Neurospora crassa OR74A: one gene and its partners. The protein of the gene in region 2 binds, or shares a complex with, the protein of the main gene of each other region. Links are inferred from orthologs where the notes say so. Each region holds a gene or a part of one and is shown on either strand. Other genes may lie near its edges. The genes, in order: ypt-1, NCU05288 and NCU06404.

Region 1 (4,391 bases), on a different chromosome or scaffold from region 2:
CAGGGACCCCTTAAAGAGCCACAGCTGGCTACTTAGAGATACTTTTGTCTCGACAGAATAGTTTCGACGAAATGGTCAGAGGGAAATTAGGTAGGTATCTATTGACTTGTGTTTTGAAACAAAGGTCATCTATCTAGTCCCTTCGGCGCCCACATCATTACCTCCCATGTTTCGTCTGTCTTCTTCTTCTTCTTCTTCTTCTCTTCACTCTTTCGGGAGAAACCTCTACCTCTGATGTTCAACAAACGGTTACAAGTACAGGTACAGGTACATGCTTGTTGTAATGAAGTACGGGGGTAAGCTTGGGAGGATTACCGGGAAGGAAAGAAGAAGAAGAAGAAAAAAAAAAAGTTGGGGTAAATCACTGCAAAGAATGGAAAGCAAAGAGAAGAGAAGTGTTGAAACGCAACAAGTTCATTTGACTCACTTGGGTACTCATTTACTCACTTACTCACTTACTCACTCACTATTATGCTGCTGTTAGTCTATCATCAACGCAGGGCGAAGAGTCCCGGGGTCAGTGGATATGGGAAAACGTAGGTAGAGATACGTATAGCGTGCAGGCAAAGTCACCATGGATGGGAAGAAGAGGGCCTGACAAGAGATGGAAAGTCGGATCCTGGCTACGGGTATAGTTGTAAAGCAAGCTTTTAAAACCGAGTGTCTCTTCAATCCTTGAAGCGGTTGATACCTGCGATTACTGATTGAATTGGGGTGCTTCAACACAACAAATCCTCAACTCTGATATGGCTGGCTATACTATCCGTGATATGGGACAAGGGGCATTTACCGACCGTCGATTGGACTTCTCATAAATATACTGCTGTCAAGACCCTGGAGAGTGGGTTATCCACAGCAGTCTGATCGTGGCCTTTGGATCAGCCGGCAGGATGTCCAAAATCTCAATGTTTACAGATCCAGTTAGACTATCAAACTCTACTAGCATAACCAAGTCCGTCACTTTGAGAGACTTCATCAAGCGCGAGTAACTATCGAGGACGTCTAGAGCTGGCTAAGGGCTTGAAGTCTGGTGAGCATTTGTTTTTTATGCATGGGTGTGCCTGTACGTGTGGTTCTTCTTGGTGTAAATGTGCCGGTCATCTCTCTGAAGCGAAAGGTTTCCTCTATGTGTGAGAGAGCTGTAGCATGGAAAGATCAGTGGGTTTGCCTCAAAACACAAAAATAGCAAAAACTGTAGTCTAGCTCCTTAAAAAAAAAACCAAAAGTAACAAATGTGTTTAAAAAAAAAAAAAAAACCGTGCCGCGTCCTCAGTTATGCCCAAGACCGAAAATACACACACGCAACACACACACCCCCAACATCATCAAGGGTCGTGGAAGCTCTCTAAGAAGCCCGCCGCCCATCCCATGTCTCAGCCAGCCACTCTTTCCCCCCTTGCCCTTTGCCAGGAATCGTGACGGACACTGGTGATGAGCCAACTATTAAGCTCCCTTTTCCGGTGCGTTCGATCACCATCCTCTTAGGCCCCACCCTAACCTGTCCCGGCAAGCGAAGAAGAGCCCGCGGAACCGTGTGATGAATTCCCAAGGTAGCATGTAAAGCCGCCCCAAGTCTCCTCCCATGTTCCTCGCAAAACCACAGAAGCAGAGCCGAAACATTCCCAACTGAGATCCCATTAGAGCAGCATTTGCATCACAGCTCAACCCAGTGCCCACGCCGTAACATTCAATCGCATCATCATGTCGTCAAACACCGTCCGATGCGAAACCGTAACGCCAAGAGCGCAACCAATGCCGCAAGGCACAGACGCTTTAGCAGCAGCCGCCGGAAGAGTTGTTGGAGACGCCGTGGCCGGGGGAGACGTTGACGCTGGCTTTCGTGTTGTTGGTGGCGATGGAGCTGCCCATGCGCTCCTTGATCTGGCGGGCCATGGTAAGGAAAGCCTGCTCGACGTTGCTAGCGTTCTTGGCGGAGGTCTCGAGGAAGGGAATGCCCAGGCTGTCGGCGAACTCCTGTTGGTTGATGTGTAAGTATGTGGCTTAGACACGAGGGTTAGGGGTGGCTGTGTACCTTGGCGACTGTGTACTCAACAACCTTCTTGTCGGTCATATCGCTCTTGTTGCCGACGAGGAGCTTGTTGACGCCCTCGGTGGCGTAACGGTCAATCTCCTGAAGCCATTGCTTCACGTTGTTGAAAGAGTCCATATCCGTGACATCGTAGACAACGCAGATGCCGTGGGCGCCACGGTAGTAGGAAGAGGTGATGGTACGGAAACGTTCTTGGCCAGCGGTATCCCACTGAATAAGCGACTGGGTCAGCGAATTTGGATTTCCAAAGTGTCCAGGAGTGCCGGGGGGTTGCTTACGATCTGGAGCTTCACGGTCTTGCCATCAAGCTCGATAGTGCGAATTTTCTAGCCAAACGGTCAGCATGTTGATGGGGGTCGAACGCATGTGTTGCGCAGGCAGGATAGCAGGACGTACAAAGTCGACACCGATGGTGGAGATATAGGACTCGGTGTAGGTATCGTCGGCAAAACGAAGGAGCAAGCAAGACTTTCCGACACCGGAGTCACCGATGAGGAGGAGCTTGAAGAGGTAGTCGTATCTGGTTGCATCGTCAGCAGGGTTCTTTGGGGGTGGTGGCGGCGGTGATCGGTCGAGTCGCGAAAGGGAAGGGGACGACGTCGGGTGAAGAGGGGAAGCGGTGGGCACCCTGAAGGTTAAACATGTTAGCAATCCGTCATGGAAACAACATGGGATACGGGCGGCGGCGATGATTGTAGGTGGCGGCAGCGTGGCGGCGGCTTACGGTGATTTGGGAAGAGCAGGAGAAGGGCAACAGGAGACGTGATTAAACCTACTACTCAGGGTTCATGATGGGCAACGAGGGACGCGCTATGCGATGTGGTGGTGTTGGGTTGAGTTGGACAGCGAAGAAATAAGGCGGGTATCGTAAGGTGGACGGTGGTGGAGCGAAAGATGGATGGTTTCGCTGAATGAGATTAGGTGTAGGTCGTTGGGGGTGGGAGGTCGGTCTGTTGGTTGATTGATGATGTGGAGGATTGTAGAAGTCTAGTGTAGGTGGGCGGATGGAAAGGCAGCAACAGCACGCAGCATAGAACCTGGAACGGGCAACACGCAGAGCAACTTAACACGGGCAGTTGATGGAATGGGAGAGCGCCCTCGGCTGTCCTGGCTGACTGCTGGCAGCGAGTGGCAGTGGCAGCCCACCCACACCACCCGCACACTCTCCGGGCGGGGGGGTGATTGGCGACCGCCGGCCAAGAGGCGGGACACTGATCCATCCAAAACAGGGGACTCAAGCGGTGACGATGCACGTGACGCAGCAGCCGCCTCCTGACCCTTTCCCACTTCAGTTGCGGTATGTACGGTATTGCACTAACAATCTTGGAGTCGTCCCGATGATGTGCATTTCACAGCTAAACAAGTCCCAAAAGAAAAAAAGACAAAAAAAAACAATGATGATGAAATGTGGTTGAGATTCCAGGTTATTCTCTGTCCAAGAGACGACAACAAAGTACGGCTACGGAACTTTTTTGTTTTGGTATACCTCGAAAGTGCTTTGGCCGTTGTTCCCATGGCTACCTTTATTATCGTGGACTTGGAGGCTGGGCCACCTGAGCGGTGTCCACATGGGCTTCCATTGAATGAATGAATGTATCAATGAATGAATGAATGAATGGATCAATGAATGAATGAATGATTCCCTTTTTTTTGGATTTGGGAGCAACATTGATTCACGGGTCCAACGGACTCCTGATCTTAGGAAGCTTCTAGCTTCAGTTAGGTTCCATCATCCAGCACATTTACATATGTATGCCGATAAGATAAGGCTCATGTGAAACAAGTGTACGAACGAAATGAGACCTCAAGGTTCTGGATATTTGACCACAACCAAAATTACGATGAAGCATATGTCGTTTCATTGTATGCAACTAGGTTGCTCTCAAAGCCTCCTGACCTACACAATGTCCATGGATAGAGTGTTGATGATCAAGATCCAACCCCACAAAACATCACTATTGGAATCCCTGTCCGTGGGGAGATCCGGTGAGCAAGTGGAAGCCGATCCACCCGATTACCGACCCTCTTATCAGCTCTGTGGTCAACCATCCGAGCCAATCCGTCACTGACATCATTCCACCCGCTGTGCGGCACTCTTCGTCAGAGAGACAAGTCAACCACTTGGCGTTTTCACACTCTTGCAAATTGCATTCAACCCGGCCTTATCTTGCATCGATCCCAGCCCTATACACACCCCATAGTATACATACTTACACTGTCCATCTCAGCGCGGCGTGTTCCGACAGCCCACGTTGCGAGTCCACTCGTGTCGGCCCAGGTACCCGACCACCAAAGTGTTTAAAAACACCCACTGCACCATGTCGGCGCCCACGAGGATACG
Region 2 (4,397 bases):
CGTCGCTTTGGAAACTGGGTGAGTTGAAGGGGGAAGTGGCTGACTGGCTGACTGGCTGACTGCCCGTAAAACCTCGCTAAACAAAGCAGCAGCAGCAGCAGCAACAGCAGCCTGTATGTACTAATGTGATATGTAGTACAGTTTATGCTTTCAAACGGAGAAACCATCAATTAAATGTTGTTAATGTTATGCCTTAATCCATATCCATATATCCCTTTATGTCACTGTCGTCCATTGTTTACTCCTGCGACATCTGGATACCCTCCCTCAAACCTTCAACAACAAGCTCCTCGCCCGCGCACCGGCGGTAGATGTCCTTGACATCCTCTGTCGAGGTCTCAAAGTGGCTGGTAGCGTCGTAGCTCTTGGAGATGAAGATGTTGTCGTTGCGACCATCCTCGAGGGGCTCATAGAGGGGAATGGGGGGACCCTGTTTGTTGTGGGAAAAATTGGGTTAGTTATCTTTCTAGAAGCTAGGTAGGCAAGAATGACGGGGGAGAACAAAAAAAAACATACCATGAACTGCTCCTCGATCTTGCCGAGGCGCTCGATACCAGGGGCGAGCTCGAGGTGGTGGTTCGCAGAGGTCTCGGCAATGGTCGAGACAATGGCGATCCAGTAGCCCTTGGGGCAGACGTTGTGCGCCGAGGAGACGCAAGCAATGTAGATATCTGGACAACCCTTTATTAGTGAATCTGTTTGGATTATCATGTTGTGACGCAAAACAAACTTACCGTTCTTGCGGCCCACCTGCGACTGGGGAATGATCAACTGGCACGAATCGGCATCGTTGGTGCTAGCAAGGGGGTGCTTGAGAATGCAGATGGCGCGGAGGACGTGGCCGACAACCTTGACCTTGTCGGGGAAGTAGCTGGGGTCACCGAGGATCATCTTGGCGCGGGTCTCGAACTTCATCTCGGGCTCAACGCCGGTCATGGTGGCCTTGATGCCGACGGCCTTGCCGTTCTCGTAGACGAGCTCGTCAACGTTGGTGTTGAGCATGTAGGTACCGCCGTAGATGGCAGAGAGACGGGCGAAACCCTGGGGAAGCTCGCCGAGGCCGTAGAGAGGGTAGATGTATGGCGACTTGCCGTAGCGGGCAACGGACTGGCCGTAAAGGCGGATGCGCTCGATGGTCTCAGGGGCGGCGCCAGGGGTATCGAGGTAGTTGTCGTTGAGGTAGAGGGCCATGGCGTGGCCGACAAAGTCCTTGGTGCCGGCCTCGAGGCTGAACTTCTCAAAGACGTCCTTCATGGTGCAGGTGGCCATGTCAAGACCTGCAAGCGCCCCTACTGGTTAGCGCTCATGAACAATACAATATGACAGCAAGTGTATTTGTGGGCCGAACTTACCCTTGTGTGTGGCGGGGTCCTTGGGGTCGAACTCGCCAACCCACTCGATGAAGCTCTTCATGCGGCGCTTCTCGAAGATGCCCATGAGGGGCGAGCGCAACGCCTCGGCGGCATCTGAGGGGACCTTGGCGATGGTGGCCTTGGAACCAGCACCCTGCTGTACGTAGCTGCCGGCAACCTGCTTGAACTCGAGGTAACGGGTAACATCGGTGGAGACAAGAATGTTGGTGAGCTCGCCCGAGGACATGAGGAACTTGGGAACAAGGTCGATGTTCCAGTCGTTGGGGCGACCGTATTCCTTCCAAGGCTCGGTACCGGCGGCAAAGTTGCCATATTTCTTGAAGAGCGTCTCGAGGTTAACCGACGCCGCCTCACTGCGCAAGGAGTCATGTTAGCTTCCGTTGTGTCCTCATCATGGTTCGATAGGGGGGTGAAGGGGGGGGTTGAAGGGGGGGAGAGGGAAGTACGAACCCGCCGTAGTGGTCGTTGCGGTCGATGTGGAGGACCTTCTTTCCCTTGACACTGAGAACACCCGAGAGAATACACTCGGTCAAGCCAGTGCCCAGCACAATGACATCGTACTCCTTGGCGATCTCGTCGGCCATGGTTGTGGTGTTGATAGTATTAGTTGTGGTTGGTTGTTGTGGTGAGTCGGCGGTCTTGCGGTCTGCAAGCTATAAGCAACAAGCTACAGGTAGTAGGAAGCTTGTTGTTTGGATTAGAGGGGGGTGGTGGGGGTGGTGGTGGTGAGAGTAGGTAGGAGGCAGGTAGGTAGTAGGTGGTATATAGCAAGCAGGCTAAACACACGACGACGGAGAATGGAAGAAGCAGAACAAGAAGAATGGGACGGGGAAGAAGGAACGAAGTTGAAGGCGGATCACTTGATACTAAATGGGGGTAAGTAGGTAGCCCGCCAGAGAGAGATGATGGACGACCAGGGACAGAGACCAGCAGTTGAGTGGACTGGCTGGTGGACTTCCACTTTGTCGTGGACTGGACTGGACTGGACAACTGACAGGAGGCGGCGTCCCGTCGGTCTGTCACGTTAGTGTGTCCATACCTGGTTACTACCTACCTAGGGGACAAGGGACGACGACGGACGGGGCGTTGACGGACGGACTGGGGCCGCACTGCCGCCGCTGGGCTGCTGCCACTGCCTGCACACACGCTGCATTGCTGGCACCGCCTGCGACTGACAGCAGCTTCCACCTGTTGCAAGTACGGTGTGCAGGTGCAGGAAGCTGTCAGCCATGGGTCCAGGTCAGGTCTCCGTCACGGCACTCCATATGATCCATTCAGTTTGCTCTGATCATGTCCATCGTCGCCAGGCTGTCAGTCTTCAACCACCATTCAAAACCATTGAGAGACAAACAGACACCTCTTTGATGAAAGTAGGGGGCATGTCCAATGCATGGTCGTGTCTCCTCGGGGCTCCGGTTTGGGTGGGCGGTCTCGTAGGCGGTCTCCCCTACCTAGGTAGCCCAGCCCATGGAGGCCAGGCTTCTTGCTGCCGGCCAGCCAGTTGTGGTACCTCTAGCAGATGGCCGGCCTCTGGTTCGTCACCGTCGTGGTAGGAAGTGGGGGAGTCGTACAATGAGGGGCGCGAACGGGACCCCGCTTTGAGCTTCTTTGAGCTAGACCGGAGCCAAGAAAGTAATGTCCCCCTAATGTCCCCCTTGGTGGGACTCGGGCTCGCTAATGATTTGATGTTCAAAGACATGAAGACCGTTCACTGATCTGATGAACAGAACCCTGGCTTGCTTCATCTGGTCCCCGCAACGATGATTGATATGTATATATAGAGATCCATATATATATCATTCTGATATATGTACACTACCACTCGCCATTTTGTATCTAAAAATTGGACTTGGAAACGAGCTTTGTCTCGTCTATCCCGCCATGCCCCTTCCTCCTGACCTCTCCATGGTCTCGCCTGTCCAGGTTGGCGCCGATGATGATCTCCCCAGCTACCGTGGAAATCTAGACATGTCCTAAGCGAGATGTTGGTATACAGAGATTCACGCACCCCAGATCTCGGTTGTTCGGCCCATCACTATTCACCAGGGACCGCCTAATCCATATGGGACACCCATTCCCATGAACCCCATGGGGCTTTTTGTTTTTGCTTCGTTGGCTTCTTCATGAAAATCTCCCAGGCCCATGTCCTTCCCTCTTTAGAAACAGGGCCTGTCCGGGTTGAATTTGGCTGTTGTACAGTGAACACATATGATGCTCGTTACACTATCGATACAGGTTGCAAAAATGTGTGGTGGTTTGTTTTGGGAAAACGGGTATCGTGACTGTTTTCCCCCCCTCGTCCTCTTACCGCAAGGGTACCTTCACGACCGTTCGCCCGTCTGGTTCATTTGGGACCGCTTCCCTCTCTTCATACCCTGGGGGCTTCGGCTTGGGACTTGGATGATGGTATCGTTGTTGGGTCGATTTCTGTGGTGGTGGATTGCGTCTCGCTGGCCTCGGCGCCCTCCGCCGTCTCTTCCGCCTCGAGGAATGTGCTAGGCGTGTAGGGGTTCTCGGGGTTGGACAGGTCGATCTCCGGGTCCTGCTCGGCCAGCTTGACTGCATCCTCCCAAGCATAGAAGCGCTCGGTGAGCACATGCTTGATTCCGCGCATCGTTTGCTTGACCTAGAAAAATCAAAGGAGAACCATTGTCAGCTTCTCTGCTGTAACCTAGTAAATGGGCCTTCCTCCTTCCTGTGTCATCCACCTACATTGCGGTCACGCTCATTGGCCTCAGCAAGACCGAAACCCAATTCGCTCTTTGTGCGCTCCCAGTTCGCCGTCGCAATGCGGTTGCGCTCCTTGACACAGACCCACCATAGCCGGTGCAGGTCGTCCCACGACTTCTTGCGCAGCTCGGAAACGGTCCAGGCGCGGCCGTGCTTGGTGTGCTCGAGGGGTGCCATGGCGACGGTCTCACGGTCGTAAAAGAAGTCCCACAGGCCGTGGTTCTCGTCGACTTGGATCGGGGGCAGCTCCTCGCGCGGGACAGGCTCGGGGAGGGGTTCGTCGGAGACAGAGAG
Region 3 (4,397 bases), about 2.8 Mb from region 2:
TCTCTATTAATCTATAGATATATAGATTCTTACTATTTTATAGCTTTAAGGCGATAGGAATGCGAAATGTAGTCACAAGGTAATAATGTCGTTGCGCGAATATTACAATATAAAAGAGTGATTTTACAGGGCGTTAATTGGCGAATCTACATAGTATATTTCGCTACTGTCCCAAATTAATTTACTATCCCATATTTTATCCACCCCCTCTCCTATAGGGAGGGGGTGGAAGAGCCTTGGCGCCCAGAGCCAGAAGGCACCCATCACCCTCGAGTATGGGTCCTGTAGTGAGCGTGGTGGCATGCCGCAGTGCAGTGGTGGCTTCCTCGGCACTATGTAAACAGTCAGACCGAAGGGACCGACAAGTGGAAGTTGAGCAACGCACAGACCACATCTATCCCGTTCTTTGTGCTCGTTTCCCGAAAGAGTAAAAGAGCACCTCTTGTGGATTCGTGGCTCATGTCAACAATGTTATCGCTCACGTCATACGTCTTGATACTCTACACTAGCCATGGTTGACCAGGGCGTCCCCATCTTTTCAGGGAATATCTATCTATGTTTTGTTTTATGGGTGTCGTATCGTCATACTTTGGAGATACAGCTATAAGGGGGGCCGCGCACGAAATCTACAAACCAGAAAGAGAACAACAAAGGGGAAACAGTCAAGAGAGAAGAAAATGAAATATATTAGGAAGAGCCAAAGATCGCACCCAAACTCCGTGACCAGAATGTTTCGTTTCGCTCTCTGCCCCTCGTCCATGCTGCCAACCCAACCTCAATCCATCTATATCGATCAAGCCGGTCGTAATACTCACATGTCTCCGTATCGTCGTTGATGTCCTCAGCTCCCTAGCCTATCCATCCTACCATCCACTGCTTCTAGAGCGCAATAATAATAGACCCAATAGCGAGAAGCCGGAAATGAGCACGCGTCGTATCTTCCGCGCCGCTTCTCCCTCCTGCTCCCGAGTGACAAGAAAGGGGTTTTCAATGAGCCCTCCAGAATAACTAAAGCCGTCTTTTCCTCTTGGACCTTAGCTTCATTACAACCATAGTAAAGTCTTGAGACCGAAGATACCCTCTTTCTCCCCTACACCGCCTCTTTGTTTCCATGCGGTAGACCCGGCCGTGCATATTGGTGGCCCGCAGGAAGACAGGTGCATGTTCGATAGACGTAGGCTGTAGCCAAATAGAACTGAATGAGGCCAGACTGCTGTCATCCATACTTCGGGAGGATAAATCGGATCTCGTATCGCCATCGTGATTGTCAGCGGGCTTTTTTTTTTTTTTTTTTGCGAGCTCCAGGGTCGGGTTTCGCCGCCACACAACTGCTACCCGTTTGGCTTAACAGCACTTGCCGCCGGATCCTGACCCGCTGTTGTCGCTGACGTTCACGCCCGACGAGCCGCCAGACGCCTCTTTGCCGGATGTGTCGATGATGCGCTTCTTGATGTCGTTGGCGAGGCTGAAGAAGGCCTCTTCGATGTTGATGTTCGCCTTGGCCGAAACCTCGAGGAAGGGAATGCCAAGCTCGTCGGCTAGCGCTTGGCCTTGTTCCTTGGAAACCGCCCTCTTTTCCTCCCAGTCGCACTTGTTTCCAATGAGAATCTTGTTGACTCCTTCCGTCGCGTGTTGCTCCACGTTGGCGAACCAGGTACGGATATCTGCGAAGAGAAGGTCACGTCAGCAAAGGAGCGAGGTAATACATGGCATGGTATCCGATGGGAGATTGCTGATGCCAGAATCCGGAGCAATGGAGAGGCATGGCATCTAAAAGGCACCAATCCATCGCATTTCGAGCGTGACCTCAAGGACCACCTCTTGACCGCAACTGTCATGCCATTTTATGCGGGATGGGAATGTGGGTTCACGTACTGTTGAATGACCTTTCATCCGTCACGTCGTAAACGAGAAGAATGCCCATGGCGCCTCTGTAGTATGCCGTCGTGATGGTACGGAAACGCTCTTGACCGGCGGTATCCCATATCTGTAGCTTCACCCGCTTGCCATCGAGTTCGATTGTGCGGATCTTGAAGTCGATACCGATGGTGGTGATAAATGACGGTGTGAATGAGTCTTCGCTAAAGCGCAACAGACAGCAGGACTTGCCAACGCCCGAGTCTCCGATCAAGAGCAGCTTGATCTATGTCGTGAAGCGGTATCTCCGGTCAGCGTCTGGAAACAGAATAACCTCGCCAAACCCACTACGGGGGAGGGGGGGAACACAAGGAATGTCGCGAGAGTGCGAGCGGTGAGGTGAAGGAAAGACTCACCAGAAAATCGTAATTCCTGTTACTCGACATGATGAACTGGTGTGGGGGTTAACGCCGCCGCCCGTCGTTTCGATCTCTTGGAATGTTTCTCTGGTAGTTCGGACTCCGGAATTCGGCAAAGGGGATATCAATCGAAATCCGGCGTTTCGAAATCGTCGGGCTGTTGTACACTGGTAGTTGCGGGAAAGGGAATGGGGATGGAGACTGGAGGCTCGAATGGTGGTGACGATGCGCAGTTCAGGAAACAGGCGACAGAGCAGGAATGATGTTCAGTTGTAGGTAGGTAGTGTAGGTGAGTGAGTGAGTGGTGGTGGAATGCAGTGGTGGTGGTAGTTGAAAGCGTGTCCGCAGTGCGACGTTGACGGGCCTGTCAAAACTGCAGGGCGGTTGCACGGGTTAGGTAGTAGTCCAGCGGAGGAGGAGTCGCAGAACGAACAAACAGGCGAGAGCGCGATGGGGTCTCCTACTCCTGCACTAAGGTAGACTTGGCTGGCCGGCTACTGGGCTGCGGGCAGTGCGTACCTGGGCTCTCTCTCCCTCCAACTTTACGGGGCGATGCCGTGCGGAGATCCAATGGAAAGGCGAACAATGACGAGGACGGGGAAGGCAGAAAGGGGTCTTGTAGCTTCCACTTGTCCAAGACCTCCCTGCGTGGAGAGGAAGGAACCAAGAAAACTGGAATGTCTCAGATGCCCCTGATGTCTGATACTATCTAATCAATGCTAACCTGGGTCCCAAAGCGCAGGGCAAGTGGAAGTCCAGAGCCCGGGCAACGCGATCACCACCATAGAGGTACAATGTGAGGGTTGACGCACTTGCCTGAAGTGCTACCGAGTCGCGGGCTACACTATGTATGGGATGGGGGGTTATCTGTGCCCTTTACACCTGTACCTCCACTCTAGTGGAAGAACGCTTATTGCAGCGCGTGATCGTGGTCTAGGGGACGCGACTGTTCGGTACGTAATCGGTCAAGTTTCTAGAACCTACAATCGCCGCAACAACTCCACCTGATATTCCATTCTTTGTGTCCCTTTCAACCTTGCAGTAGATAGAGATACCAATGTGTTATGAATGACAGGATGAGCTCGAAGGACAAGTTGTTGTGCATGGCGCAAAGTGTCTAGGAAACCGGAGTGAGAAAGAGACAACTCAACTGCACTCTCAACGAATGCAACCCAAGATTCAGGAACCAGGGAGGGAGCTCTGCCACTAATATCTGAGGTCGCGGAAGAAGGTGAGCCTCGAGACCAAACGAGACCATCCGTTCATTCGCGCATCCAACAGAAGACCAGCTGTCTTTATTTGTTTGTTTTACCAGGAAAGTTGATTAAGGGGTTTTCTTGGCTTCTTCAACAAAATGGAGTATCGTGAAAGGCCAGCTGAAGCTGCAGACACAGGCGACTGGGCGGTCTCACAGCAACATGGTGAGAAAGGCGGGCAGGGCGGTGAACAGTCTATACGCACGAGACGCAGTATCCGTTGATGGATCTATAACTCATATTGGCCCAATGATCTCTTCCACCAAAGCCTTTTCCTGCCCTCCCGCCACACGAAAGGCGGCCCCTGGGTGACCCTGCACCCTGGTTATGCCCCTGCGTGAAGCGTGAAAAAGTCCAGCAACATGCCCGTGGGGTGTTTTCACACTACGTGGACTAAACGTCGCCGCCTATAGGCACATAGGTAGGTAGGTATCCACCGTGTTTAAGGGGTTAGTAGACAACTCTGTTTTGGTGTTTAGGCCCGGTACTTCCTGCACCTGCTCACCTCTGCCATATCACCGGCACCATCTCCCCCGTGCATTCTCAAAACTCCAAGTCCTTATAGCTATTTCATACAAACAGAAGAATCATGGAAGATCTAGTCGCTATTTACTAAAGTACACTGATCATATCACATCACAGCCCAACTAACAATACAAAACGCTTACCGCCATTCACCAACTCCCGCGCTGGGGATCTCGGGATAGAGGATTGATGAAACTCTGACAGCCATCTATTTCTTGCCCAGCCAATCGGCGTATGCCCACCGAATCCTCTGCAGAGCCTTTTCTTGAAGAACGACATTCTTCACACTCGTCAAATCCTCCAGATCCTCCAGGAACTCGCGCCGGATGTCTCCAGGGAG

The links.
Region 1: the proteins of NCU05288 (region 2) and ypt-1 are in contact, whole or in part, in a crystal structure (PDB 1UKV), measured with the Saccharomyces cerevisiae proteins. The link is inferred for Neurospora crassa OR74A from reciprocal best matches to the Saccharomyces cerevisiae genes GDI1 and YPT1. Residues at the interface, in NP_011062.1 of Saccharomyces cerevisiae: Thr5, Ile6, Tyr44, Gln55, Lys76, Arg78, Asn81, Thr96, Leu99, Ile100, Asp103, Thr105, Arg106, Tyr107, Asp109, Phe110, Lys111, Gln112, Ser156, Cys221, Gln222, Ala225, Arg226, Tyr227, Leu233, Met236, Tyr237, Glu241, Gln244, Ala247; in NP_116615.1 of Saccharomyces cerevisiae: Thr40, Ile41, Gly42, Val43, Asp44, Phe45, Trp62, Asp63, Thr64, Ala65, Gln67, Arg69, Phe70, Thr72, Ile73, Thr74, Ser75, Ser76, Tyr77, Arg79, Gly80, Asp107, Arg108, Tyr109, Ala110, Ser112, Gly189, Asn190, Val191, Asn192.
Region 3: the proteins of NCU05288 (region 2) and NCU06404 are in contact, whole or in part, in a crystal structure (PDB 3CPH), measured with the Saccharomyces cerevisiae proteins. The link is inferred for Neurospora crassa OR74A from reciprocal best matches to the Saccharomyces cerevisiae genes GDI1 and SEC4. Residues at the interface, in NP_011062.1 of Saccharomyces cerevisiae: Thr5, Ile6, Tyr44, Arg78, Arg106, Tyr107, Tyr237, Glu241, Gln244, Ala247, Arg248, Ala251, Ile252, Tyr253, Gly254, Thr256, Tyr257, Met258, Leu259, Leu282, Arg445; in NP_116650.1 of Saccharomyces cerevisiae: Ile53, Gly54, Ile55, Asp56, Phe57, Trp74, Asp75, Thr76, Ala77, Gln79, Arg81, Phe82, Thr84, Thr86, Thr87, Ala88, Tyr89, Arg91, Asn123.

Annotation. Positions count from the first base shown.
Region 1 is NC_026502.1:3,521,027-3,525,417, forward strand, and holds ypt-1 (small GTP-binding protein), read right to left. Parts: upstream 3,114-4,391; 5' UTR 2,841-3,113; coding exon 2,830-2,840; intron 2,571-2,829; coding exon 2,447-2,570; intron 2,377-2,446; coding exon 2,329-2,376; intron 2,261-2,328; coding exon 2,033-2,260; intron 1,975-2,032; coding exon 1,774-1,974; 3' UTR 893-1,773; downstream 1-892. Other genes in the region: NCU08476 (hypothetical protein), read left to right, coding at 4,369-4,391. UniProt on the Saccharomyces cerevisiae protein: The small GTPases Rab are key regulators of intracellular membrane trafficking, from the formation of transport vesicles to their fusion with membranes.
Region 2 is NC_026504.1:5,450,202-5,454,598, forward strand, and holds the start of NCU05288 (rab GDP-dissociation inhibitor), read right to left. Parts: upstream 2,409-4,397; 5' UTR 1,958-2,408; coding exon 1,824-1,957; intron 1,727-1,823; coding exon 1,353-1,726; intron 1,278-1,352; coding exon 735-1,277; intron 672-734; coding exon 517-671; intron 431-516; coding exon 239-430; 3' UTR 1-238. Other genes in the region: NCU05287 (50S ribosomal protein L4), read right to left, coding at 3,742-3,999, 4,086-4,397. UniProt on the Saccharomyces cerevisiae protein: Regulates the GDP/GTP exchange reaction of SEC4 by inhibiting the dissociation of GDP from it, and the subsequent binding of GTP to SEC4. Plays an essential role in the yeast secretory pathway.
Region 3 is NC_026504.1:2,622,738-2,627,134, forward strand, and holds NCU06404 (GTP-binding protein), read right to left. Parts: upstream 2,972-4,397; 5' UTR 2,304-2,971; coding exon 2,274-2,303; intron 2,144-2,273; coding exon 1,876-2,143; intron 1,665-1,875; coding exon 1,345-1,664; 3' UTR 478-1,344; downstream 1-477. Other genes in the region: NCU06403 (hypothetical protein), read right to left, coding at 4,266-4,397. UniProt on the Saccharomyces cerevisiae protein: Involved in exocytosis. Maybe by regulating the binding and fusion of secretory vesicles with the cell surface. The GTP-bound form of SEC4 may interact with an effector, thereby stimulating its activity and leading to exocytotic fusion.